6 linked regions of the Coturnix japonica genome follow. The protein of the gene in region 6 purifies or fractionates together with the protein of the main gene of each other region. This does not show direct contact. Links are inferred from orthologs where the notes say so. Each region holds a gene or a part of one and is shown on either strand. Other genes may lie near its edges.

Evidence for each region.
Region 1: the proteins of SOD1 (region 6) and HEXB purify together in Homo sapiens (affinity purification with mass spectrometry; 3 studies listed by BioGRID and IntAct, with this or other methods). This does not show direct contact. The link is inferred for Coturnix japonica from reciprocal best matches to the Homo sapiens genes SOD1 and HEXB.
Region 2: the proteins of SOD1 (region 6) and TKT purify together in Homo sapiens (affinity purification with mass spectrometry; 3 studies listed by BioGRID, with this or other methods). This does not show direct contact. The link is inferred for Coturnix japonica from reciprocal best matches to the Homo sapiens genes SOD1 and TKT.
Region 3: the proteins of SOD1 (region 6) and PARK7 purify together in Homo sapiens (affinity purification with mass spectrometry; 4 studies listed by BioGRID and IntAct, with this or other methods). This does not show direct contact. The link is inferred for Coturnix japonica from reciprocal best matches to the Homo sapiens genes SOD1 and PARK7.
Region 4: the proteins of SOD1 (region 6) and HSPE1 purify together in Homo sapiens (affinity purification with mass spectrometry; 3 studies listed by BioGRID, with this or other methods). This does not show direct contact. The link is inferred for Coturnix japonica from reciprocal best matches to the Homo sapiens genes SOD1 and HSPE1.
Region 5: the proteins of SOD1 (region 6) and TPI1 purify together in Homo sapiens (affinity purification with mass spectrometry; 3 studies listed by BioGRID, with this or other methods). This does not show direct contact. The link is inferred for Coturnix japonica from reciprocal best matches to the Homo sapiens genes SOD1 and TPI1.

What each region holds. Positions count from the first base shown.
Region 1 is NC_029547.1:22,141,720-22,145,815, forward strand, and holds the start of HEXB (beta-hexosaminidase subunit beta), read right to left. Parts: upstream 2,801-4,096; 5' UTR 2,635-2,800; coding exon 2,342-2,634; intron 2,211-2,341; coding exon 2,059-2,210; intron 1,003-2,058; coding exon 937-1,002; intron 184-936; coding exon 137-183; intron 1-136. UniProt on the Homo sapiens protein: Hydrolyzes the non-reducing end N-acetyl-D-hexosamine and/or sulfated N-acetyl-D-hexosamine of glycoconjugates, such as the oligosaccharide moieties from proteins and neutral glycolipids, or from certain mucopolysaccharides.
Region 2 is NC_029527.1:4,946,905-4,951,044, reverse strand, and holds the start of TKT (transketolase), read left to right. Parts: upstream 1-1,340; 5' UTR 1,341-1,470; coding exon 1,471-1,577; intron 1,578-4,140. UniProt on the Homo sapiens protein: Catalyzes the transfer of a two-carbon ketol group from a ketose donor to an aldose acceptor, via a covalent intermediate with the cofactor thiamine pyrophosphate.
Region 3 is NC_029536.1:196,701-200,060, forward strand, and holds the end of PARK7 (protein/nucleic acid deglycase DJ-1), read right to left. Parts: intron 3,211-3,360; coding exon 3,151-3,210; intron 3,015-3,150; coding exon 2,945-3,014; intron 1,456-2,944; coding exon 1,369-1,455; intron 928-1,368; coding exon 767-927; 3' UTR 501-766; downstream 1-500. UniProt on the Homo sapiens protein: Multifunctional protein with controversial molecular function which plays an important role in cell protection against oxidative stress and cell death acting as oxidative stress sensor and redox-sensitive chaperone and protease.
Region 4 is NC_029522.1:4,972-9,196, forward strand, and holds the start of HSPE1 (10 kDa heat shock protein, mitochondrial), read right to left. Parts: upstream 2,801-4,225; 5' UTR 2,630-2,800; coding exon 2,627-2,629; intron 981-2,626; coding exon 816-980; intron 61-815; coding exon 1-60. Other genes in the region: HSPD1 (60 kDa heat shock protein, mitochondrial), read left to right, coding at 3,657-3,830. UniProt on the Homo sapiens protein: Co-chaperonin implicated in mitochondrial protein import and macromolecular assembly. Together with Hsp60, facilitates the correct folding of imported proteins.
Region 5 is NC_029516.1:69,555,449-69,559,728, forward strand, and holds the start of TPI1 (triosephosphate isomerase), read left to right. Parts: upstream 1-1,480; 5' UTR 1,481-1,595; coding exon 1,596-1,707; intron 1,708-2,508; coding exon 2,509-2,632; intron 2,633-2,726; coding exon 2,727-2,811; intron 2,812-2,939; coding exon 2,940-3,072; intron 3,073-3,293; coding exon 3,294-3,379; intron 3,380-3,517; coding exon 3,518-3,605; intron 3,606-3,849; coding exon 3,850-3,968; 3' UTR 3,969-4,280. Other genes in the region: USP5 (ubiquitin carboxyl-terminal hydrolase 5), read left to right, coding at 513-597, 767-860. UniProt on the Homo sapiens protein: Triosephosphate isomerase is an extremely efficient metabolic enzyme that catalyzes the interconversion between dihydroxyacetone phosphate (DHAP) and D-glyceraldehyde-3-phosphate (G3P) in glycolysis and gluconeogenesis.
Region 6 is NC_029516.1:94,144,695-94,148,728, forward strand, and holds the start of SOD1 (superoxide dismutase [Cu-Zn]), read left to right. Parts: upstream 1-1,234; 5' UTR 1,235-1,374; coding exon 1,375-1,449; intron 1,450-1,856; coding exon 1,857-1,950; intron 1,951-2,557; coding exon 2,558-2,627; intron 2,628-4,034. UniProt on the Homo sapiens protein: Destroys radicals which are normally produced within the cells and which are toxic to biological systems.

The sequences.
Region 1 (4,096 bases), on a different chromosome or scaffold from region 6:
CAGTTTGTTAACAGCTTTCCAAACATTATTTTCTGAATAAGTAATTAATGAAACCTGTTTATCTACTGTTCCTTGAGGAATAAAGAATGTGGCTGTCTGTTATCAGACCGTGTTTTCAGCTAACAACTATACTTACACTTCCATAATCATCTTCGTGAACCAACTGACTGAAGGTTTCCAAACCTGGGAAAATCAAAGAAAGAAATCCAGAATACACCACACTGATATTCCTTAAAATTTTAGTTAAAAACAAGACCCAAATTATTTACGGGAATGCAGATAGCAAGAAAGAATGCCTTATTATTGAGTTTCTTGTTATCACATTTGCCTTTGTTGCTCAAGCAAGAAAGTTAACAAAGTACCAAAAAGAGAACAGATCAAACTCTCCATTATATACAAGCACTGGAAATTATTATCGTGGCTCAGAAGCACCAAATTAATCTTTGACAGAATGATAACAACAGAGAGTGAGGTAGGAATGTCTGTTATTATCATACACATATTCCTGCCGTTTCTGGAGCAGGTGAATTTTCCAATTCAGCATTAAAAATTTGCTAATTTAGATAACATTCCAGTAAGAAATGCAGACTGAGACTTCAGCATCATGGTTCTCTTGGTGATGGTGACCTGCATGTTGTTATTAGTGCAGTCACAGAACAACTTATTGACACTACAGATCAGAGAGATTTTTTTAGCACTCGGGATCTGGTTGGCCTGGCTGATTTCACATACAGCAATCAGGCAGTTATGGTGTGCCACTGGATCTGGGATACTGAGCACACAGACTGAAGGAGTGTGCAGTGCACATTTTGGTACCTTAGGCCCCCACATGCCTGAATGAGGGCATGCCTCAGCAGTCAGCTGGTTCTTAACTCTGCCATGCAGTCTGTATAAGCTTAGAACAAAAACAGCTCTGTACGGAAAGCATCAGCTTACCTCTTAAAGCTCCCCATACTTCATCTGCTTTCAGTATAGCCACAGGCTCACTTACAGTTAAATGATCTAAAAAGAGGGAAGAAGAGTTATTCCTAGAGAAGGCAAGGATTGCCAAGACATTATCAGGCACTAAGATATTCAAGATTCCCTTTTTGATTTTTTTCTCCATTACTCTGGTGCTCCATTACTCTGATTATCTTCATGGTGCTCCTCTGGACCTGCTCCAGCAGCTCCGCATCCTTCCTGGACTGGGGGCCAATCCCCTTCCTCTCCCTGCTGGCCATCCCTCTTTTGATGCATCCCAGGATATCAATGGCTTTCTGGGCTTCAAGCACACACTGCTTTTCACCCACTAGGCCCCATTGGTCTTTCTTCACAGGGCTGCTCTCAATGAGTTCTTCTTACAGCCTGTACTCATATTCGGGAATGCCTCAACCCAAGTGCAACACCTTGCACTTGGCCTTGTTAAACCTCATTAGATTCTCATGTGCCCGCCCTCACACTATGAGACAGCCACTGACTAAACCATACCATTTCTGTTTAGAAAAGAACAACAATAAACTGCTCAATGCAGCAAGTGAATGATTTCCTTACAGAAAAGAAGAATCAGCTTTCATTAAGAACTGAAGTTCACATGGCTGTCCGAAGTTCAGCTAGTAGTAAGGCAATGTAATAAGCTAACCATAAGTGCTGAAGCATTAGTGACTTTGCTGCTTCCCATGATAACTGTGATAAGAAACTAAAGAACTAGTGGTTAGGAGTTCATTTTAAGAGTGTTTGTCCAATCTGGATGTCAGCTGTGGAGAATCAGAGCAGGACAAATCCAATGTAACCATCACGTTGTTAATCCTGCCTTGTATCTGTTGGCAAAATGAAAGCGTTTTTACAACTCGCACTCAGCTGCTCCTTCACCCAGCACTACATGTTGAGGAGATCACACATGATGCCACTGACTAATGTCATGACTTGGCGCGCTCTCAATTACACAACAGCACGATTAGGTATGAGCTGCTGTGTCCTCACAAGCCTCCGTGAGCCTATTATTTCCAAGGAGGAAAAAATAAATCACCGTCTGACTTCTGCGCTGGCCGTTAAGGCTGAGCACGACACCGCGGTACTCACAGGCCTCGTTGGACGCGAGGTGCGGGAAGCTGTTACAGCCGGGCTCCGGGGAGGCGATCACCACCTGCAACTGCGACAGTTCCCCTTGTGCAGACGGCGACTCTCGGTGCGGCTTCCTCCAGTGGGAGCGCCCGAAGATGTACTCGTAATACCTGCGGGGAGAGCACAGCTCAGGGAGACTGAGCTGCTCCCCGGAGCCCGCCGCCCCTGCAGCCCCTATGAAGCCCCTATGAAGCCCCTGCCGCCCCTGTGAAGCCCCTGCCGCCCCGCCGCCTGCCCTCACCTGCGGAAGGCGTCCTGCAGGATTCCGCAGCCCGGTCCCGCTGAGGAGCCGGCGCCGTGCACCACCTGGAAGCGCTCGGGGGCCAACTGCAGCCGGAGATGGGACGTGCGGAGCGACTGCGGCAGCGGCCACAGCGAGTCCTCGGAGACGGCGTCCGATCCCGTCCCCCATTCGGACGGCTCCGGCTGCAGGTCGGGGGGCGGCTCTCCGCGGCCGAAGCTGGCGCCCAGCAGCACGGCGGGGACGAGGAGCAGCCCTAGGAGCAACCCAGCTACTCCCATGGCTCTGACCATAGCAATGCGGCCGGCAGAGGCCCCGCCGAGTGAGCCCGCCGCTCCGCCTCCGCCATCACGGGACCGCGGCGCACCGCCCTCCGTACCGCCCCACGGCGGGGAGACCCGCACCTCAGGGCGGCGACGGCCGGGACGGGTCTGTGCGGTGTGGAGAGCGAGAAGGGGTTTGTGCAGAGGATTCCATCACAGCGAAGTGTTGTCAGAAAGCAGTTTCGGCCTTAGCAGAACCTGTTAGAAGTGCTTTCTGCGGAATGGAAGTGTGCAAACCCGGAGAGGTTGTGGATTCTCCTCTGGAGATGCTTACAAACACCCCTAGACGCCAACCTGTGCAGCCTTTCTTTAGGGGCCCTGCTTTGAAGGGGGTTTAATGATCTCTAGGGGTCCCTTCTGGCCCCTACAATTCTGACAGGTCCCACTGTAAATCTTGGAAGGCGTGAGGTGTTTGGAGGGCAAGGCATGTGCCTGGAAGCTGAAAATTCCAGTGGGGAGGCATTCTGACTTGAAGGCACTGCTAATTAGATGATTAACGAGAGCCGTGCATGCTAGTGCCCTTGCTCAGGTGACACAGGACAGCAGCAGGATGCTCTCAGCTGCACACTGCTCCTGTGGTGCCTCTGCAGCGCCACCAACATTCTTTCAGGAGGCAGCTGTGGAGACACACGCTCTGGATACAAGAAACAGAAGAAATGAGGTATGGAGAGGATGCTCTTGTGATGTCAAGGTTGCTTCCCTGCAAAAAGCCTCACTCTTTTTGTGACTTATTGCAGAATTGTTTTTCACAGCAGGATGAGTCCTTGCCACTGGTTGCAAATCTGGATGGAAGCTGTTCAATCATGGCAAAATGGTACTTAATCTTATCATATTTTAGGTAAAAATAAACTCCTTATTATGGGATACCAAATAGGCACCTAACACTCATGAGTCCCTGCAGCAAGCAGCTTGGTGTAGAAGTGGTCTCGTCAGGCTTTCCCAGAGGCTGTACTGTACATGCAGTCCAAGCTCTGGCACAGGCTTCCAGCTTCTTGATGTGCTCTTAGCCCTTCCCCTCTCTGACCATCTTCACTGTTGTGCTGCTGGAGCTGCTCATGGTGTCCATTGCTGGTCGTGTTTTGGGGGCATATTTAGGAAATCTGGATTCTTTCATGTATTTCCTTAGCACAACTGAGAGATCAGTAAGCTCTTTGAGCAAGTGGTGACAAACTGAAGTTGGTAGGGAGCTATATGCTGTAACAGCAGGCCTGCTGTAGTAAGTACGTTTATTTCTTGATGTCACCCTTTAAACAAGCTGCTTTGTGCACAATCATGTAATTAAAACAGTTTTGCATTTTCTTCTCTGTGTGGACCTTCTGATAATTGACAAGGACAGCAGATAGCTTTTTCATGTGTAAGTATGTGAAACACAGGCTTATTTCTCTTACTCATATGTTGTGAAGCAACTTCCAGGAATTTAATCTCCCTGAGA
Region 2 (4,140 bases), on a different chromosome or scaffold from region 6:
AGTTCGGTGATCTTTGCTCAGTAATAAGATAAGGTTAATTTTAGGCCTGTTGGAGCCTACGCACACAAGAAGAAAATAAAACAATATATTTTGAAGTAGGATATCTATTGGATATGTGTATATGTATATACATACGTGTATATTGGATATGTGGATATGTATTGGATATCTATGTGGCAGTCACACCAGCTAACCTTTACCTAGTGCCGTCTAAAATGAACTCTGCACTTTGCTACTGTCAGGATTGGCTCCATTTCTTCCTTCTTCCTGGTAAATAACCTATTCCAAATTTAGTATCTCTTCTGTGGTGTCTTTTTTCTTGTTTGTAACAATTAGAACAGCAACCAAAAAAAGATTACAACAATTAATTAATTAAACAATTAATTAATGGAAGAATGTTTTACCTCCCCGGGTCAGTTTCAGGTGCTACTGACCAGCTGGCATTTGCCCAACGAGCATGGCTATGTTACAAACACACTATGTTTCAGTAACATAGTGTTACTGAAACAAGTCTTGAGAACAAGGGCACATGTTCTCTTAAATAGTATGCACCAGAGGTGTCTTCCAATAGGAAACAGCAACATAATATCCATGGTATAACTGTTTATATTTGAAATGTGGTTTTTACCTTTTCAAGCAATGTAATACAGCTTCTGAAACAAACTAGCACTGACTGCAGAGCAGAAATCCTTGCAGAATGCAGAGCACAGACACGCATTTCTTGAGAACAGAATTCATTCTTTTTGTTTTCCGTGGTTTTAAACTTCTTTTTGCACAGATTATGACTTCTAACACTTCCAGAGCTTTCTAGAACACACATGTAATATTTAATGTACCCAGCTAAGGCTGCAGCTTTAATTATTTCAGCCTCCTCCTGTTCAGAAGCACTAAAGACAATGTATTTTCTGATTCATAGCTGGTGAAGTCAGTATTTTAAGCTGAAGTCTGTATTTCTCGAATGAAGAATGTTGTGCTCTTTGAGCGTGTATTACAGAACTGTGAATTCTTTCTTGAAAAGAAATGGCATACAGCAGTTCTGCTACAGTTCTTCCTGGCTGCAGATCACACTTGATGCAGTGATATTCTTTTATAAGCGAGGACAGCCTTGGAATAACTTTGTCTAACAGGCTTTGAGCGATGGAAAAGCTTGAGCTGATCCCTCCGAGCGCTGAGGGGCGGCTTCCACACGCACGGCCTACCATGCTCAGATGTGAAGAGCCGCAGTTTCCTGCCTTCTAGCACATGGGAGCGAGAAATGGCTCACGCTGAGCCTGCCCACAGCCGACAGAACCCTCCTCCCTCCGGCAGGAAGCGATGTACCGGCCTAAGGAGGCGGGGCGGCCCGGCCTTCTCTTTCTCCCCGCCCTCACCGCACCCCTCTCTCTCCGCACGGTCCCGTTGAGCGCCGCCGTCCCTGCCCGGTTTTAGCAGCCGCTGCCTCGCGAGTCTCGCCGCCTTTATTTCGTCTCCATGGAGGATTACCACAAACCCGACCAGCAGACCCTGCAGGCCCTGAAGGATACGGCCAACCGGCTGCGCATAGGCTCCATCAAGGCCACGACCGCGGCCGGCTCGGGGTGAGTGGGGCTGGAAACTGCCTCCAGGGAGCAGCTCCTTTCTTTTATCAGTTCCTCCGGGTCGGTGGGAGGGTTAATGCGGTGTAGGGAGAGGGTGAGGATGGTACAGCGCGGAGGACCCCGGCGTGCCCCGGTGCCGGAGCGGTGCGGCGTGGAGATGCTCTGGCTGGAAATGGCGGCCGTAGCGCGGTGTGGGGATCCTGCGGCTCACGGCACAGATCAGCACCGCCCGGGGTTGGAGGCTGAGGGACACTGTAGTACTGTAGAGTACTGTGTGCAGGTGTGGAGCAATCAGTACTAAAAAGACATGGAGATTTTGGAAAGGGTCCAGAGGAGGGACACGAAGATGATCAGGGGGCTGGAGCACCTCCCCTATGAGGACAGGCTGAGGGAGCTGGGTTTGTTCAGCTTAGAAAAGAGAAGGTTGCGGGGTGACCTCATTGCAGCCTTTCAGTACCTGAAGGGAACTTACTCCCAAGAGGGGAGTAAACTCTTTGAATGGGCTGATAATAGCAGGACTAGGGGAAATGGTTTGAAGTTAAAAGAGGGAAGAATTTAGGTTGGATGTTAGGGGGAAGTTCTTTACTAGGAGAGTGGTTTGGCCCTGGAACAGGCTGCCCAGGGAGGTTGTGGATGCCCCGTCCTTGGAGGTGTTCAAGACCAGGTTGGACGGGGCCCTGGGCAACCTGATGTAGTAAAGGTGTATGTTTGGTGGCCCTGCCAGGCAGGGGGGTTGGAACTACATGATCCTTGAGGTCCCTTCCAACCCGGGTCATTCTGTGATTCTGTGTGATTCTGTGACACGTCGGTCCCCGATCCCGGAGGGTGTTGTGACTGTGGGCAGTGGCCGGGAATGCCGAGTTGATGCAGGGCTGAAACCCAAAGAATTCATGCCCGAGGCGCAGAGCGGTTTCTTTTTCATTTCGTGCCCGTCAGTTGGAACTAATTCTCCACAGAATTTCAAGTGAGCCCAAGTGGGATTATCTGTGCAATGCCCGCAGTCTCCAACTGGTGGTTTATTCAGGCCTCTGGACAGGATTTAGTCGAAGCTCTGATGTCTGCAGATTCCACGGTTATCCTTCCTTTGATCGTGCTTTACCTATGGAAAGAAAAAATCTCTGTAAACAATCCACTCTTACTCATGTAATATTAAAGCCATTTTTTATTTTTTTCTGCTTGAATAATACATTTGAGCGCTTCCACGTAGAACGCAGCCTTTTATATCCCATCCTGTGGCAATTTCCTCCCTTTTGGGGCCTCTTTGTAACCGGCAGTAGGTGATTTTATTGCTGTTTTATTGGTTTTTACTTATTTATTTTTCAGCTGAAGGAATCCTTTGGGCGCTGAGGTTTGAGCGGAGAAAGGCGGTCTGTATAAAAACCATTTCCAAGCTTTCTCTTGGAACCGCCTTACACCTCCCGCCCGGCTATGGCCTCACGTGGTTTCTCAGCACACACATAGAAACTGAACTTTACTCGCGCCTTCTGCATGCAGCAAGCAAAAACCTTGCTCTGGTTCTGCCCATAGAACCCCCTGGGGCACGGCAGCCACTGCTGCAGTAGGACTGTGCTGAGCAAAGCTTGGTCAGTCCAGGGTGCTTAATGCAGCTGAGGCTTCAGTCTTGCTGCTCTGCTCTGTGTTGTAGGCCAGCCATGGAGCTGTGCAGCACTGGTTGTCTGCAAGTCAACCCATCTCTGCTTTGTGCCAGTCATGAGCAGAGATCTTGCTACAGCCTCTTTTCAGAGCACAAAATCCAAGCATTTAGTACTAACACTGTTTTCCCCATACTGATGAAGAAATAGCATAAATAGCTTTAGTTTAGCTTTTTATTCGTGTGTACTGTGCTACTGAGCACTTCTTTACAGAGGTATTTCATTCATTCATTAGTAGAGCTTCTTCTAACACTATGTAAAGTCTCACGGAGCCTGAAATTATTACACAACCTGATAATTGGTAGATTATGAAAGATGTGCTCTGGGGGGAGGATTGTGCTGTCAAGTCATATATTTTCTTTAACGTTGGATTTTGTTAGCAAGAGGGTAGTGGTGTCGTAATGTGTCTAAAAGGAAAAGAAATTAAGAATCTGATGCAATATCAGATGAGGAATTTCTAAAACAAACGTTAGGGGGATGTGTTTTCTCAAAGTGTGAATGAGGCACTAAGCTTTACTTAAAGCACCAGTACAGTGTAAGAAGGCAGGGTAAATGTTTGAATGAAAGTTAAATTTAAACAGGCTTACAGTTTAAAATAAAAACAAAACCAGTAAAAAAACCCAACCGCTTGCATTGACTTTGCCAAGGAAGCCAGTATTTGTTAAAGGTGTCGTTTGTAAAAGTGAAGGAAGTGCTTGCAATAAAAGCACTTCAAACAAACCAGAACCTGCCTGCTTCTTTCAAGGAAGTGATTTCTTTAACTGTGGCATGTGTTGCAAGTGGTTCAGTGGCTGGTCTGACATGCTGGTTCTTGTGTTCTTTACTTGTACCTTCAAGAAAATACAGCCTTTGTTTGGACAAGGGCTAAAAGATCAAATGATCCGGTCCTTATGATGCTCAAATAGGTAATT
Region 3 (3,360 bases), on a different chromosome or scaffold from region 6:
ATGTCAGCACCTTAAAGCTGCAAAGGAAAAAGAGTGCAAATATATTGCACAGAGGAAAAACATCAGAGGAAAAAAGAAAGATGCCAAACAATCCCACCCTGAATTCAGATACACAAAGAGCCACCAGGACAAAACACTTTGAAGCCATCAATGCACAAAACATTACGCTTACAACCATCAGGTCTGAACCCCCTAAAAACAAAAAAGAAATGATCGATGTAGTTTCTTAATCTCACAACAAGCTGAAGAGAAAAACCAGCACTACTGAGCGTCCTTCCAGAAAACAAAAGGCACAACCAAACCTACACAGCAAACAGCCTTAATGCCTTAAGACCAGGGAAATTCCCAGTTCCAGAGAAGGGCACACCAGTCTGTGCCACACTGAGTCGGATTATCACACTGCACAGAGAAGTGTGAGCCAGACACTAGTGATAAGCAAGTTACTCACTGCAGCCCCTGCTCGGGACTGGGGAAAAAACGCACAAAGAAGCAACAAACAATCAAGGTTGTTTCATTTTTATTTAATCAGCAAACATTTGTCCACGCGATTTTGAAATGCCAGGATCTAAGATTATTTAGTTGCTAATGATAGTGAAGGTCTTTGCTAACAGAGTTTTCTTCCAGGAATAAACACTGGTGAGATGTCCTAATTTAGGTGAGCACAGCTGTTAATTTCATCCACAACTACATTGTGCATCTCAGTTATTCTACAAAGGACAAGACTCACCACCTGAAATTGTTCTACTCCATGTCCCACAACAGCATTTCAGTCCTTCAATATTAAGGGTGCCTTCACTTGTTCAGCCACCTCCTTCCCCATCAGTACTTCAACAATGGCCAACCCAAACTCAAAGCTCGTACCAGGGCCACGGCTGGTGAGGATGTTCCCATCTTTCTCCACACGGCTCTCGGAGTAGGAGTAGTGAGCTTAGGGGTGACACAACAATAAGAGGGTCAGTCTCCATTCCAGTGACACAGAGCACAGACCTGCCTGCTCACAGGCTACGGCAACTGAGGGGCAGCAAGCTCCACCAACAGCATCGCATTCTTGAGTACACACCTCAATGACTCACATGAGCCAAGCTCACTCTGGGCTCTGTATCCCTGTCCCTGCAGAACCAAGCAACTCATCGCTGCCTACAGTCCTCAGAGAGGAAAAGGCCCTACAGGGAGTTCTGCCAGCTTGTTCACATGGCATATAAGTGCACCTATCTGCAAGCTGTTGAATTTTGATTATGCATATGAAAGCACTAAGGAAACTCTGAGATACAGAATGAGATGCAAACGTTATTTACTTTTCTTTAAATGAAGAGTTAGGACAAAATACTTTCCGAGTTTAGAAATAAAGCTATAACATTAATTACATACCTCCATTCATCATTTTATCTTTGGCCAAAGGATGTGTTGTGACTTTGCTTCCAAATCCTATCCCATGTGCCAGGAGGGCAGTAGGGCCTGTAAGGACACACACACATCAGTGAGAAACTTATCTGCTACAAACATAAGAACACGCATCCAGGGGCTCAAATCTCACAGCCTTGGTAAGGATTATCTGATAAAATTTCATTTGAAAAGGCCTTTATGTGCTGGAATTGTGCACCAAGCAGCATTTTGGACAGCTATGGGTTAACAGCTAACCTTCCAGTTTTTACATTCTCTTTCTCTTTCCATCACTTCCTCCCTTGCCTGAATTGAGGAAGAAACTTGTGTAAAGTTGTCTTAGATCACCCAAGAAAAAAATCCTTATGGGAATTCCAGAAGAAACTGAATGCAGGATTTGGCTGATTCAAGTGTCATTTCTGCGTATCTGATTCATTTCAGAAAATGAAGCAACAAGGAAATAACTTCCCTCGTGTTCAGCTGGAAAAGTTCTGAAAAGCACTACACATAAAATAAATGAATTGTTCTGCAACATACGGGTAAAGAAGGAAAAGACCACCAGAGCCACACTTAGGACTGCTCACAAATTCATGTGTATTGCTCAACTGAAGAACGAAAACAAAATAAAAAGCAGCCACACACCAGACAAAACACAAACACATGCTGCAAACACACACCGTTAGAGCATCTCCTACACAGTTATCATCACTCTCCTCATTCTCCCCTACATAGACCACTCTCTCTGTTCAGCTGGGAATATCGGCATTTATTCATCTTGTTTTTTCTTTAAATACAAACCACATAAAGAACTGAACTAGATATCTAGCTGTGCAGAACATGTAAGCAGACAACCCTCACTGTAGAGTAACTCCATATTTTAGTACCACTCCTTTGAAGGTGAGCCTGTAACACTATATTTTCAGCCACCCTGCTGAATCTAAAGGGCAGAAGAGGAGTCATGAGACAAATTTATAGTAACGATGTTCAGCCAGCACAGCGTCCTCACAGAGAAAATAACCAGATACTAAAAAAAAAACAAACCAAAAATCCCTAAACTAAAAACCAAATGTAATGCTGTAACACAACAAAAAGGTCAGCAATGACAGCAGAGTAACAAAGTCCCAGACTGCAGCAAGTGAGGATTTACTCAGAGGTGGCAACTGTACTCACAGAAACCAAGAAGACCTCAGGTACACAGGGAACTCCAGAGAGATACCCCCACCTCCACTGGGAACCCTTAAATGAGGGCTGGATCCTGACTCCACCCAATCCAATCACCCAGTACATTGCCTGCACCTGAGCTCCCCTGGGTTGGCTCTGCCTTCCCACCATGTGCTCCATCATTGCTTCAGGCCACTACAGCATTTCCACTACACCCAGCAAATTAGTTGTCACTTTTTAAGACACTAACCCAAATGACTAGAAAATCCAAATGCTGATGGGTTTGTAGAGCAAATTTCTGTAACTAAGTTACAAGAATATAAATTTCTAAGGCAGGATACCCGCCTGCCTGTCCTTTCAAACACCCAAGTATTTATCAAAGGAAAACTTGTTACTAACCCACCTGCACATATTGCAGCAATCAGGCCTTTCCTGCTTTCCTGATCCTTCAAAATGTCTTTAACAGCAGCAGACTGTAAAAGATAAAAAGAAGCCGTTGCTTTGAGTTGATTATTTGGGTTGAAGCACAGTTGAGGCATTTTCTACTGCAAATTCATGAACAAGATTTACAAAGAAAAACAGCTTGACAGCTTGATCCCAGGACTTTACCTCTGACAAGTTCTGAGCTCCAAGGTTACCTCCAGGCAGGACAACGACATCGTAAGGTCCCTAAACAGACAGATAAAGCTTTGATGAACAGAGGGTGACCTATCTGTCACATTGTTCTAGGGACAGCACAGCTAAGTGAATTGAGAAGCAAAGGGATCCTTCACTGAGAAGCCTTTTCTTTCACCAAATCTGATCTTGGCCTGCTGTAAA
Region 4 (4,225 bases), on a different chromosome or scaffold from region 6:
GTATTCTGGTAGCAAAACCTTTTCACCAACTTTGACACTCACTGGATGAATCTCACCATCCTGAAAGGAAGAAAATAAACACCCTTCATTTTACTCCAGTTCAATGGAAAGGTAATGGCACAATTGCTCCATACTGCAAACAAGTCAAATAATAGAACCACTTTGCAATATCCTGCTTTGAAAAGCAGACACAGAGACAAAAAGAAACCCCACGATATCTTTGGAGAGACTCACAGGCAAAGTCTGAGTCAACACACTCAAGTTAAACGTTAACCTGCTTTCTGCCATTGAGACTAACTGACCACTATTTAGATGGGGGAAAGATCCTCCAGTAGCAAAGCCACTAACCACGGGCATTTTAAGAAGGTGAAAAGACATTAAAAGGTCTCCTTCAGGATCTTCAACAGTCAAAGCTTAAGCAAGCTCAACTGGCATTTATTTCTACCAAGTCCTGATTTTTTGTTGTACATTAAGCCCAACTCTTATGGGCAATGATTTTTTGGACAAGACAGCGAACGCCACGTGCAGAACAACAAAGAAAAGCACGTAACCATTCACTGTTTAAGGATGCTTATCAATAGCTGGTTTCAAAAAGCAAGCATTTTCCATTTTGCAGATGTTCAAAGGAAGACTGGAATTCAAGGCCAGAGCCAGGCAGGGGAACTGAAACCTTCTACCTCTTCTTTGAACCTGCACTTCCACCTTCAATCACCCCTCTCAGTTTTTGTGCTATATGATTCAACGTACTCTGCAGCCATCCCTTTCCTGCTACCACTTTCCAGCTGCTCAAGCTGATGCTTCAATCAGACTCTTACCTTCCCTCTGGCTCCAGATCCAACTGCTACCACTGTTGCTTGCAGCACTTTCCCTTGAGCTTTTTCTGGAATCATGATGCCTCCTTTGGTTACAGTCTCTGCTGCGCATCGTTCAACCAGAACGCGATCAAACAGGGGAAGGAACTTCCTAAATGCTTTTCCTGCCTGTGAAGGGGCACAACGTTAAAGGAAAAACAGATGAACAAAAGCGCATCTAAAGCAAGAAAACCCACAACTAAGTGGGTGTCAGAGAACAAGAAGAAAGTTGAGCACTTCTTTTCCATAGAAGCGAATTATACCACCTGTGATTGCATTGCAGAGCTGTGCTATGACTGCTTCAAGCTCTTCAGAAGCAGCTCACTCCCAAGCTGCTCACACTGGGCACTCTGTGCCCTTAAGGCTCCTCGCTCCAGCTGAGGGAATGAGCCTCCAGCAGGTGGAGCAGGAGCCACATGTGGCTAATCCTAAACCGTTACTTAGTACGGCTCACTGAGAACAGCGGCTCACTGAGAACAGCTCGGTGATCACAAAGACAGAACTCAGTCAAGACTGAGGGCAGCTGCGTTTTCATTCACCGTAGCAGAGTATTTTATAGTAACAAACTGTCAGTCTAGGCCTGTAGCTGGTGCCTGTCTTTTTTGGGCAGTTTAAAGGCATGGCATTTCAGGTGATGTAAGAGAATTAATCAAGTCTGAAGTCCAAATGAAGACTGCTGTTAGTTGGAATGGAAGCAGCACTCCAGCTCCCACACAGGAGATGAAGGCAAGCACAGCACCCTGCTAAGCAGGGGCAGGAAAAGGAATTTGCTGTGGTTTAGGAGGAAAGCTATGGAGCCTTGCCAAGCCACATGGAGACAGTGTGATGCAAGGCAGGTACCCTGGGCTCACTGAAATGGCTAGAAGCAGCCTGGCAGCTGGGCACCCTCCACTGACACTGATCAGCACTGGAGCTTTAAAACTAGGGGGAAACGAAGCTGTAGGCAACGTGTGAGAGATGCATCCCCAGCTAAACTGCTATTACTGGAATGATGCAAGACATGGAAATGACTGTGAACCGGGATGATGTTCATTCTAAGAAAATACCAGTGCTGATCTCTTTCTCTTTAGATTCCCTGAAACCAAACGTTCTGTTCAACTGCAATCAGAACGCAGAATGCTGCCACTTTGTGCCTAAGCTTCAGGTAACACTGTGTCCTTCTGCCTGCTCTCACCAACGAGATGATCATCGTGGTCCTTTCCAGCGCTGGCCACTTTACGTTTCCTAATTTTATAAGGATCTTAATAACGATACACTGACGCAGGTACAAGGACAGCTGTGCCCTTAGGGCTCCTGCAGAGAAGCCCTGGATGGGAGCAGCTTACAGAGCACAGCACCAGCAGCTCCGTTTTCCCTCCCGCTCCTGCGGCCCCCAACGCAGCCCCCAAGGACTCGGTGACCTTGCAAACCCACTCCCAGCTCCGGGCCGGTCTAACCGAGCGTCCATAGGGCGCTAAGGCAGGACTGCAACGAAGGGCTCACCCGCTCTATCCCTGCCTGCCTCCATCCCCCCACAGCCCCACCGGCCGCATCAATCACCATCAATCACCATCAATTACCCTCCAGCAGCACCAAGCTGCCGACACCCCCATAGTGCGGCCTACTGCCCTGCGGACGGGCGGGGCGCAGCAGCGGGCACAGCCCCACGCAGGAGCGCAGGGCCGGGAACACGGGGCCGCGGCCGAGCGTGTGGTCAATCGCGGTGCCGGCTGTGGGGGCACATGCACACACACACACATACACTCACTCACACACTCACTCACACACTCACTCACCATGGCGGCTCCGTCCCGCTCCGCTCCGAGTGACCGCGCCGCTCCAAGCACACGTGAGGAAGGTCACCCCGTGCGCATGCGCAGCCGCCGACCCTGGCTCCTGGCCCCGCCCCGCCCCCAGCCGTGCCGCCCGGTGCCGCGGCTCCGTTATCCGCCGTCCCGGTGTCGGTGTGTGTCCCGGTGTGTGTCCCGGTGTGTCGCTGTGTGTCCCGGTGTGTCGCTGTGTGTCCCGGTGTGTCGCTGTGTGTCTCGGTGCTGTGGCGGTTCGGTTCGGGGCCGGGCCGGGACCGGGGTGGTGCTGCCACCCGGAAGTGAAGTCAGCCGCCCTCTGACCCGGGGCGAGCATGGGCATTCCAGAAGGTTCTGGAATTGGCGAGCCCCGGAACATGGGTGATTCATGCTCGGAGCCTCCTGCACATGCGCAGAGCGCGCCGTACGCCTAGATCCTTTTTTCCTCTATGGGCGGACCCAGACGCTATGCAGGTTGCGGGGCTCGGCCGCATGAGTGTGTGCCCGGCGGGGGCGGGGCCATGTGAGGGAGTGTGTGAGTGTGTGAGTGCGCGCCGCCCTGAGCGCCGTGCGGAGCGGAGAGCTGAGAACGCACACACAGCGCTACGGGACGCGCCGCCGGCACAACGCAGGTCAGTGGGGAGCCGAGCTGAGCTGTGCTGTGCCGTGCGGAGCTGTGCTGAGCCGTGCTGTGCTGGGGCGGGCCGCTCCTCACAGCGATGTGGTGGTGCTGAGGGAGCGCCGCGTGCTGACTTGGGCGGCCTTGCTCCCATTGCACGCCTGGTCCGGTGTGTGTGTGTGTGTGTGTGTGTGTATATGTGTGCAGCCCTGCTATGGCTCCTCACAGCCCCGTTGTGTTGCGGCCGGCTGCATTGTGGCCGGCAGGGGGCGGCGGGCTCTGACCTTGCGGCGCGTCCTGCTGTGGGGACGGGTGGGCATGTGGCTCCGAGCGCGGCCTGCGGGCGGACCATGTGCTGCTTTAAATCTGTATGGCTTTAACATCGGGTTTTACCCCCCAGACATGCTCCGTTTGCCCGCCGTACTCCGCCAGATCAGGCCGGTATCCCGAGCGCTCGCCCCGCACCTGACTCGGGCCTACGCCAAGGATGTGAAGTTCGGGGCGGACGCGCGGGCCCTGATGCTGCAGGGGGTGGATCTGCTGGCAGATGCCGTAGCCGTCACCATGGGGCCCAAGGTAACGGCGGGACGGGCTGCTATTGCGGGCGTGCCTTAAAACGTGGCGATAGGCGACGATAGTGTGCGTGGAGTCCCGTTACTTGCACGTGGGTAGAGCTGCGTGGCCATGTTCACATCGATCCCGTGGGCACAAAGGAGGACGGGCCGCTGCTCCCTGTGAGGGGCGCCTGCCTTCCTTTAGGCACTAAGGACGGCAAGGGGGCGACCGCGTGTTGGCTCGAGTTACTGCCCCTAACGGCGTGGTAGATAATTAACTCCTTCCAAAGGGAACAGTTACATTAGCGCTTATTTATTATCGGGCCAAATTACAGCTTTGTATCCTTTCATCTCCTACCAGCAGCAAAGTGGAAACACTCAAGGCGTAATGCTGAGCTTGCAGCCAGCTCTGAAATG
Region 5 (4,280 bases), about 25 Mb from region 6:
GTATCAGTGGCAGCAGCTCCCACAGAGCTGAAGGGGAGCGGGGAGGAAAAGGAGAAGGGTGGCAATGTAGGGGCCTAAACCCTTCAGCATGGGGATTAGTTGGAAGCTGATAAGAGTGAGGCCAAGGAGGTGCTGTCAAATGAAAGACAGGAAGGACTGTGCTTCTTTCTCCCATATTCTGATCTTTGGTCTCATTGAGAAACCAAGTTCCAATCCATTTGCAGAACTCTAATGCCAATGCAGTTTTGCCCCTGGTCTCTATAGGGAGGTGGAATTCCTGCCACTACCCATGCAGCATACCTGAGCCAAACGAGCTTGGAAGAGAAAAGGCTCAGTGGAAGTTGTCATCTCGTGTTTCATTGCACATTTGGCCTCAAGTCACTCGCACTTGACTGGGACCCACGTTTAAGTTATTACCTAGGAGAGCTTCCATCAGATCTCTGAGTTCTCTAGAGGGCTGTGCACTGATCTGTGGCACCTTTATCTGATACCTCTTCTCTCTTCCTCACAAGAATATCAGCTGTTTGCCTTCATCAGCCACATGGGCACTTCGACTATGTGTGGTCACTATGTTTGTCACATCAAGAAAGATGGCAGGTAAGAGGGGATTTGACATAAGCGGTCTCTGAAGTACGGCTTTAAGCCACTGTTCTGCCCTATTTCTTCATGTGGTGGCGAACAGAGAGAAGCGAGCTGGCAAAGAGGCTCACGTAGCATCTTTGCCGTACAAAAGGGGGAAGCTGAGGAACGCTGTTGTGTGTTGCAGGTGGGTGATCTACAACGACCAGAAGGTCTGTGCTTCTGAGAAGCCCCCCAAGGACCTGGGCTACATCTACTTCTATCAGCGGATCCCCAGCTAGAACAGCCTCTCGCTGTGTGTGGAGGGGGGGAAAGCGGGCCCGAGGCAAGGAAGGGGAGGGTGGGGGCGGTCAGAGCAGGGCCCGCCTCCCCTGCTCCTCATACCCGCTCTTCCCTTCCCGTCCTCGCAGTGGGACGCTCAGGGGAGCCGTGTTCCACGCCGGGCTGCGGCCGGAGCCCCTGAGGTTGGCAGCGAAGGGGGTTGTGAGGGTGGGAACGTCCCTTCGCTCCCTGCAGCCGCTGCTCGGCTCTGCCGCTGGGGGGGACGCCGGCTGCCGGTGTCCCGCAGGGGCAGGTTGTGCATGTGGCTCGGGCCGTGCTTTCTGCCTGCCCTCCCGGGGAGGGGGCAGCACGGGAAGCGGCGCGGGCCGTGAGCGGTGCCCCCTCCCTGCGTGCCCTTCACATGCCAAAATACACGAGGGACAAAATAAAAGTCAAAATACGGCCTTGTCGGTGTGTTCTGTGCAGCTGCGGCCCCGGCAGCCCCAACTCGGGCACTGCTACGAGCTTCAGGACGGAGAAGGGAGGTGACGTGCCTCTGAGAACGGCCGCAGCCATCCCCAAACGGAGGCTGCCAGGGCCCCGGGGGTGGGAGGGAGGAGCTACCGGGGGTGGGAGGAGCTACCGGGGGGCTGGGCCTCGCGCAGTGCCGGGCTATAAAACCGGCCTCCGCGGGCTCCGTGCTGTTGCCGACCTTCCCCCCGTGCTGGTGACCGTGTGCCCCCTTCGGCCCCGCCATGGCTCCTAGGAAGTTCTTCGTGGGCGGCAACTGGAAGATGAACGGCGACAAGAAGAGCCTGGGCGAGCTCATCCACACGCTGAACGGCGCCAAGCTCTCGGCCGACACCGGTGAGGGAGGGAAGGAGGGAAGCAGGGCGGCAGGGCGCGGCCGCACGTAGCGCACGTCCCGCGCGGCGGGGCCCGGCCGGGGCACGGGAAATGTCAGGGGGCGGCCGGGGCCGAAACCGAACCCCGCGGCGGGGCTAAAAATACCGCGACACCGGATCCCGGCCGCTGAAGGGCACGGCGTCCAGCCCCCTACTGCCGGATGCGGGCGGCCTCCGTCCGCCGGCGCCGCGGGGATCTGCGGGCCCGGCCCCGCGCGGATCCTGCGCTGGGCGGTGAGGGGCCTCTGCGCGGCATCGTCCCCCACGGCCTCGGCCTGCAGCCCCTTCTCTGTGCCCGGGGTCGGGGCCATGATGTGGGGGCTGAGGGCACCGTGCTACTGGAGCGGGTTCCCGGAGCGTGCCTGGCCTTCCGAGCTGCCATACCCGCTGTAATCCACGTGTAACCCGACGCTGCCCTTTTCTCCCCGGTTCAGCCTCCTCGGTTCATTCCTGCCCGGTTTCTCGGCTGGGATCTTTCCAAGGGATTCTGCGAGGCCTGGCTTTCTGCCCGACCCCCCCCCACCCCCCCTCTCTTTCTGACCCCTGGAATGAGTTTCCCCTCTGCTGTCGAGTCATCAGATAGTAGGGAGGATGTTCCGACTTGGTGTGGTCCCCAAATGTCAGCGAGGGCAAGCTGAGCCTCCACCAAATGAGGGGCATGAGAAGGGGGAGGGGTGGCCTCTCAGGGCTGGGCTATGGGGCCAAAGGTTGTGTGCAGTTTGTTTCCCTTGTCCTTCCTATGGGTGACTTTTGTGCCTTACAGAGGTGGTTTGCGGAGCCCCTTCAATCTACCTTGATTTTGCCCGCCAGAAGCTTGATGCAAAGATCGGACTTGCAGCACAGAACTGTTACAAGGTACCAAAGGGTGCTTTCACAGGAGAGATCAGGTGAGCCCAAAATGAAGATTAAAGCCAGCACTGCTTTGCAAAGTGAGTTTCATCAGGTGATGCGAGTCAATACCTTCATCTGCTTTCTCATCAGCCCAGCAATGATCAAAGATATTGGAGCTACATGGGTGATCCTGGGCCACTCAGAGCGGAGGCATGTTTTTGGAGAGTCTGATGAGGTGAGAGCCTGGAGCGGAGAGGTGGTACCCAACAGATAATGCTGTGAAGGCTGGAGTGAGCAGTTGGAGGGAAAGGTGGGTGATACAGGAGCAGGTCTGACTGCCGCTTACCTTGTTTCCATCCCCAGTTGATTGGGCAGAAGGTGGCTCATGCTCTTGCTGAGGGCCTTGGTGTCATCGCCTGCATTGGAGAGAAGCTGGATGAGAGAGAAGCTGGCATAACGGAGAAGGTGGTCTTTGAACAGACCAAAGCCATTGCTGGTAAGGGAAGATAATTGACTCTTATTATTATTATGGACAGCTGGGAAGTAGCCATTTTGGCCATAACTGTCTGTTCCTGGCCTTCAGATACATAGCTACATTATTAACAAACAGTGGTCAGGTTATTAAAAGGTCTGCCTGTTCCAGGAAGCTTTTTTTCCAGATCGGCCCTTCCCAACATGAGGTACTGCACTCATGTCTACTTTCTTCTTTCCTCTCAGATAACGTGAAGGACTGGAGTAAGGTGGTTCTTGCCTATGAGCCAGTTTGGGCTATTGGAACTGGTAAAACTGCTACTCCCCAACAGGTAACAGCAAGGGCAAGGTGACTGATGAAATGAATGTGTGACCCCACTCGAGGTCTCCCTGGAGATGGAACAAGGTTCCTTCTTTGGAAGGGAGCTGTATGCAGGATGGTTCAGACTCCGGTTCCTATTTCATTTCAGGCTCAGGAAGTTCATGAGAAGCTGAGAGGCTGGCTCAAAAGCCATGTGTCTGATGCTGTTGCTCAGTCAACTAGGATCATTTATGGAGGTAAATGAGTCTAGGCCCTTTGAGGCTGCACTTACTTTGCTCACTGCTGTCGTACAGCATGCTCTGCTCTGCTGATGAGGAAACATGAGACTTAACATGAGCATGAAGAACCACTTACTAGCTTGGGAGACAGTCTTACCGTTTACAGAATAAGAGGTGGCTGGTACCTTGCAGGTTTTACCTCCTGCGTTATTGCCATTTTGGATTTGCTATGTCTGAACTCTTAATCCTGTTCCCTCTTCAGGTTCAGTCACCGGTGGCAACTGTAAGGAATTGGCCTCTCAGCACGATGTGGATGGCTTTCTTGTTGGTGGGGCTTCTCTCAAGCCAGAGTTTGTGGATATTATCAATGCAAAACATTAAAGCAGCCTGTGAGGAGCAGTCCCTTACGGTTAACAGCAAGAAACTGAAGCAAGAAGGGACCTTTTGTTGCACGTCTCTTGGTACAGAGGCTTCTTCTGAGGCTTTCCCCCACCACCACAATTATTGTTGTAGCTGTGCTGCTAACCCCCACCACCTTGTTGGAGTCCCATTAGTGTGAACCCATCTTCCTTTCTGAACTGGCAAAATCCTCGGTTATCTGGCGAGCTGTTAGAGCCCACAGTCAACCTGGCTCTTGCCTCTCTCTCTCTTTGCAGACCTGCAGGGAGGGAGGGCCACTAGTACTGGGGGGAG
Region 6 (4,034 bases):
AACTGGGTCTGTTTAGCCTTGAGAAAAGAAGGCTGAGAGGGGACTTGATCCAGGCTTATAAATACCTGAGGTGTGGGAGCCATAGTAGTGAGGCTGGTCTCTTTTCAGTAGTGCGTGGGGACAGGACTAGGGGTAATGGTATGAAAGTACAGCATAGGAAGTTCTGCACGAATGTGCAGAAGAACTTCTTTACAGTGAGGGTGACAGAGCACTGGAACAGGCTGCCCAGGGAGGTGGTGGAGTCTCCTTCTCTCGAGATATTCAAGACCTGCCTGGATGCCTACCTGTGTGACATGGTGTAGGGAGCCTGCTTTGGCAGGAGGTTGGACTCGGTGATCTCTAGAGCTCCCTTCCAACCCCTACAATTCTGTGATTCTGTGTGAAACAAAACAGCAGCAGTGAACTAAGGGAGAAAAGTAGTTAACTAAATATGATAATGAATGTGAGATAATATAGTATATATAATAATATTTGCTTTCAGTTCTCACTGCTCTAGTCTGTTATCAGTAGACCACAAATAACACAACTCTCCCCACACCAAGCGTGCTTTGCCTGAGTCTAACGGGCAGGCTTTGCCCCCATCCTTATCTCAACCCACAAGCCTTCTTTCATCATGACTACCCCCACTCCTGAGCTATTCACACAATCATACAATGACCTGGGTTGAAAAGGACCACAGTGATCATGTAGTTTCAACCCTGCTGATGTGTGTAGGGTTGCCAACCACCAGCCCAGGCTGCCCAGAGCCACATCCAGCCTGGCCTTGAATGCCTGCAGGGATGGGGCACCCACAGCCTCCTTGGGCAACCTGTTCCAGTGCGTCACCAACCTCTGTGTGAAAAACTTCCTCCTCATATCTAACTTAAACCTTCCCTGTCTCAGTTTAAAACCATCCCCCTTGTCCTATCACTATCCACTCATAAACATCCATTCCCCCTCCTGTTTATACGCTCCCTTCAAGTACTGAAGGTCACACTGAGCTCTCCCCACCACAGTCCGTTCATCCACCCAACGCAGGGTCTGAGGGACCTGAGGTAAGTAACAGAGATAACGGCCATAGCACAGACCGCACAGCGCCACAATGATGGAGAACGGCGGTTACACAACCAGCCCGACCGTTGGAGGTGTCCCGCTTTCCCATTGGCCCATGAGACCGCACCGCTGATTGGCTCTCCCTCCGCACCGCCCACTTTCCCTCTTGATTGACAGCACCTCGCGCTGTAACTGCGCGAGAAGACCAGAGAACGCGCTGTGATTGGCCCGCGGCGCTGACGGACTCGGTATATAAACCCCGCGGGAGCATCGATCCCGTTAGCCCTCGGGTAGTTGTAGGCGGGGTTGTTGGTGCGCGCCCTCTCGTGCTGCTGAGGGAACATGGCGACGCTGAAGGCCGTATGCGTGATGAAGGGGGACGGGCCCGTGGAGGGGGTCATCCACTTCCAGCAGCAGGCAAGGCCCGGCAGCGGGGGGGGATCTGATCGTACTCTGACCGGCAGCGGTGCTGAGTCATCGTGCGACCGCGGGTCGGTGCGGGATGGGGGCGGGGCCGGTCATGGTGCCTGTGGGGGAGGGAGAGCAGCGGGTTGGGGTTGGTTTGAGTTAAGGAAAGGGGCTGCACCACAGGGCGGTGGGTATGGGGCGGGATGCACGGGGCTGTGGGCACGGCCCCAGTGCTGGAGATCAGGGAGAGTCTGGACAACGCTCTCAGGCATACGTTGTGATGTTCAGGGCTCGCTTCCAGCTCAGGTTATTCTGCACTGGTAGCTGGTTTTTGTTATTGACCTGGAAGCTTTGCTTGTAATGAGGCTCTGTGATGCTTTAGTGGTGTCAGTAGTAATCAGCTCTTTGTGTTACAGGGTAGCGGACCGGTAAAGGTTACTGGCAAAATTACTGGCTTGTCTGATGGAGATCACGGCTTCCATGTGCATGAGTTTGGGGACAACACAAATGGTAAGGTGCCTGGCCAAGCTGCTGAGTTACAGCTACAAGGAGCTGCTTCTAGTGGCACAGCAGCAACCATCTTCAGCATGCGTATGTTTTATGACTGCACATTTGAAACCATGATTCCTAAGGCACATTTGAAGCACATTTGAAACCATGATTCCGGTGGTGCAGTGGTAGAAGTGCCGCTCTGCTACACAGGAGGCTCGAATCCCGGGGGTTGGACTTGATAATCTCTAAGGTCCCTTCCAACCTGCATGAGACTGTGATACTGTGAACTGATTCTTACAACATTCTTTGAACGCATTTAGGCTACTCTTCAAGGTCTGGTATGTCAAGCACTGGCCTAAGTACTTCTTCTGACCTAGTTTTTAACCTGGTGTTAAGAAATGGAGAAACTTTCATCTGGCAGAGATTATTCTGGAATGAGTCACGTGGATTTGTTGAACTTGGAGTAATGTTTGTGTGTTTATAGATCCAGCTGGAGAGTAGCTGTTTCATCATTAATGATTTTAACTTCCTCTCACTGTAGGAGAACTAAGTTCACATGCAGTATAAGCAATGCCTTTATCTGCTTATTGTGATGAATCTACTTTTGGTGGTTGTTCTTTTTCAGGGTGTACCAGTGCAGGTGCTCACTTCAATCCTGAAGGCAAGCAGCACGGTGGACCAAAAGATGCAGATAGGTGAGTGTCATGGGCATGACCTAATACTGTGCAGTGCAGTAGTTGTGTAAGTTCAGCTTGAGAGGCTGATGTGTGACTAATTGCTAGGATAGTGCTAGAGGAAAACTAGCAGTTCCAGCAGGACTTCTGAGGGCAGTTAGGAAGGTACTTGGTGATCATACAGCAGTGCTTTAGATACCCTGGCTCTAAGAGTGTGTGCAAAATGCAGTCTTTGGCGCTCTGGTCTTATCATAGCCTGGGGTGAAGGGGAAATAATAAGGGCTGTTAGTGAATGTTCATTAGGAGATAAGTGAGAAGGGGAAGGAAGGTCATGTACTAATACCTCTCGTGGTGCCTTGCTTCTCTTTTGGAGCTAGCTATTGACAGCAGTGGCCCTATAAATGTCTTGTGTTGAGCTGTGTGTAGGCTTGTCATGTGGTCTGTGAGGATCCTCACTAGGGCTTTGGGGAGGCTGCAAGATGGGCACAACACTGAGTGCCTGGCACAGTGGATGTTCATTTGGTGTGCTGGGTTTTTCTTAACACCTTACCGTAGGTACCATGCTGCCTATGGGATGTATTCTGTAGGGGTTGTGTGCTGGCTGTAAGTACTGGTCTGTTGGCACTGAATGCCTCTGCCCTTGCTTCATAGCCCTCTGTCAGAGGAAGCTGAGACTGAATTCTTACTGGGAAGCAGTTAAATAGCCCAGTTACCTTTGGGGGACCTTTAGTGTCTGAGGGGTTTGTGTGGTGTCTGAGACCACTGAGCAGTTGTTTCAGTAGTATGCTTCTGGGTTCTGAGACTGGGAAGGTGCTGTTGTCATGCTGGTCTTTAGATCTTGTGCAAGTCTTAAAGGTGACTTGATCATTCGGAGGTAGGTTCTGAACAATCACTGTGGTTAATCTGGCCGTGTTGGTCATGGTTTTAGGTACTTTGCCTGTACCTGCAGCTTCTGTTATTGATCAGTTACTTGTCAGATGAAGTAAGTCGAGTGGTAGGTGTCTGGATGAAAGCAGTGTGCAGTGGTAGCTGAAGGGCTTCACAGGCAGCCGGGTGCTCTAATGCTAAAGGTCAGTTACGCGAGCAGCGTGCTTCTATTGATTCTCTGTCAGATCCTGCTGCTGATGTAACCTGCCTGCTCAAGCAGCTGTAGGCTGGGGACTCTGTGTGAAGGTTTAAGAACTAGGCCGTGCTTCTGTAAGGCTGGAGCTGAAACCAGTACTAAAATCTCCTAGAAGCTTAAATAAGCACCCAAAGGGGAAACCGCCCTTGTCCTTATTCTCTAGGACTGAGTTAAAAATACAGAGTCAGCACTATCTTCTCAGGAAGCAGGTGGTTGGCAGGTAGCTGGAAGGGCTGCTCACCCTGTGAGCATGGACGGGTCTAGGGACAAGCTGGTGTTTGAGGCTCCATCAGCTTCAAATGGGT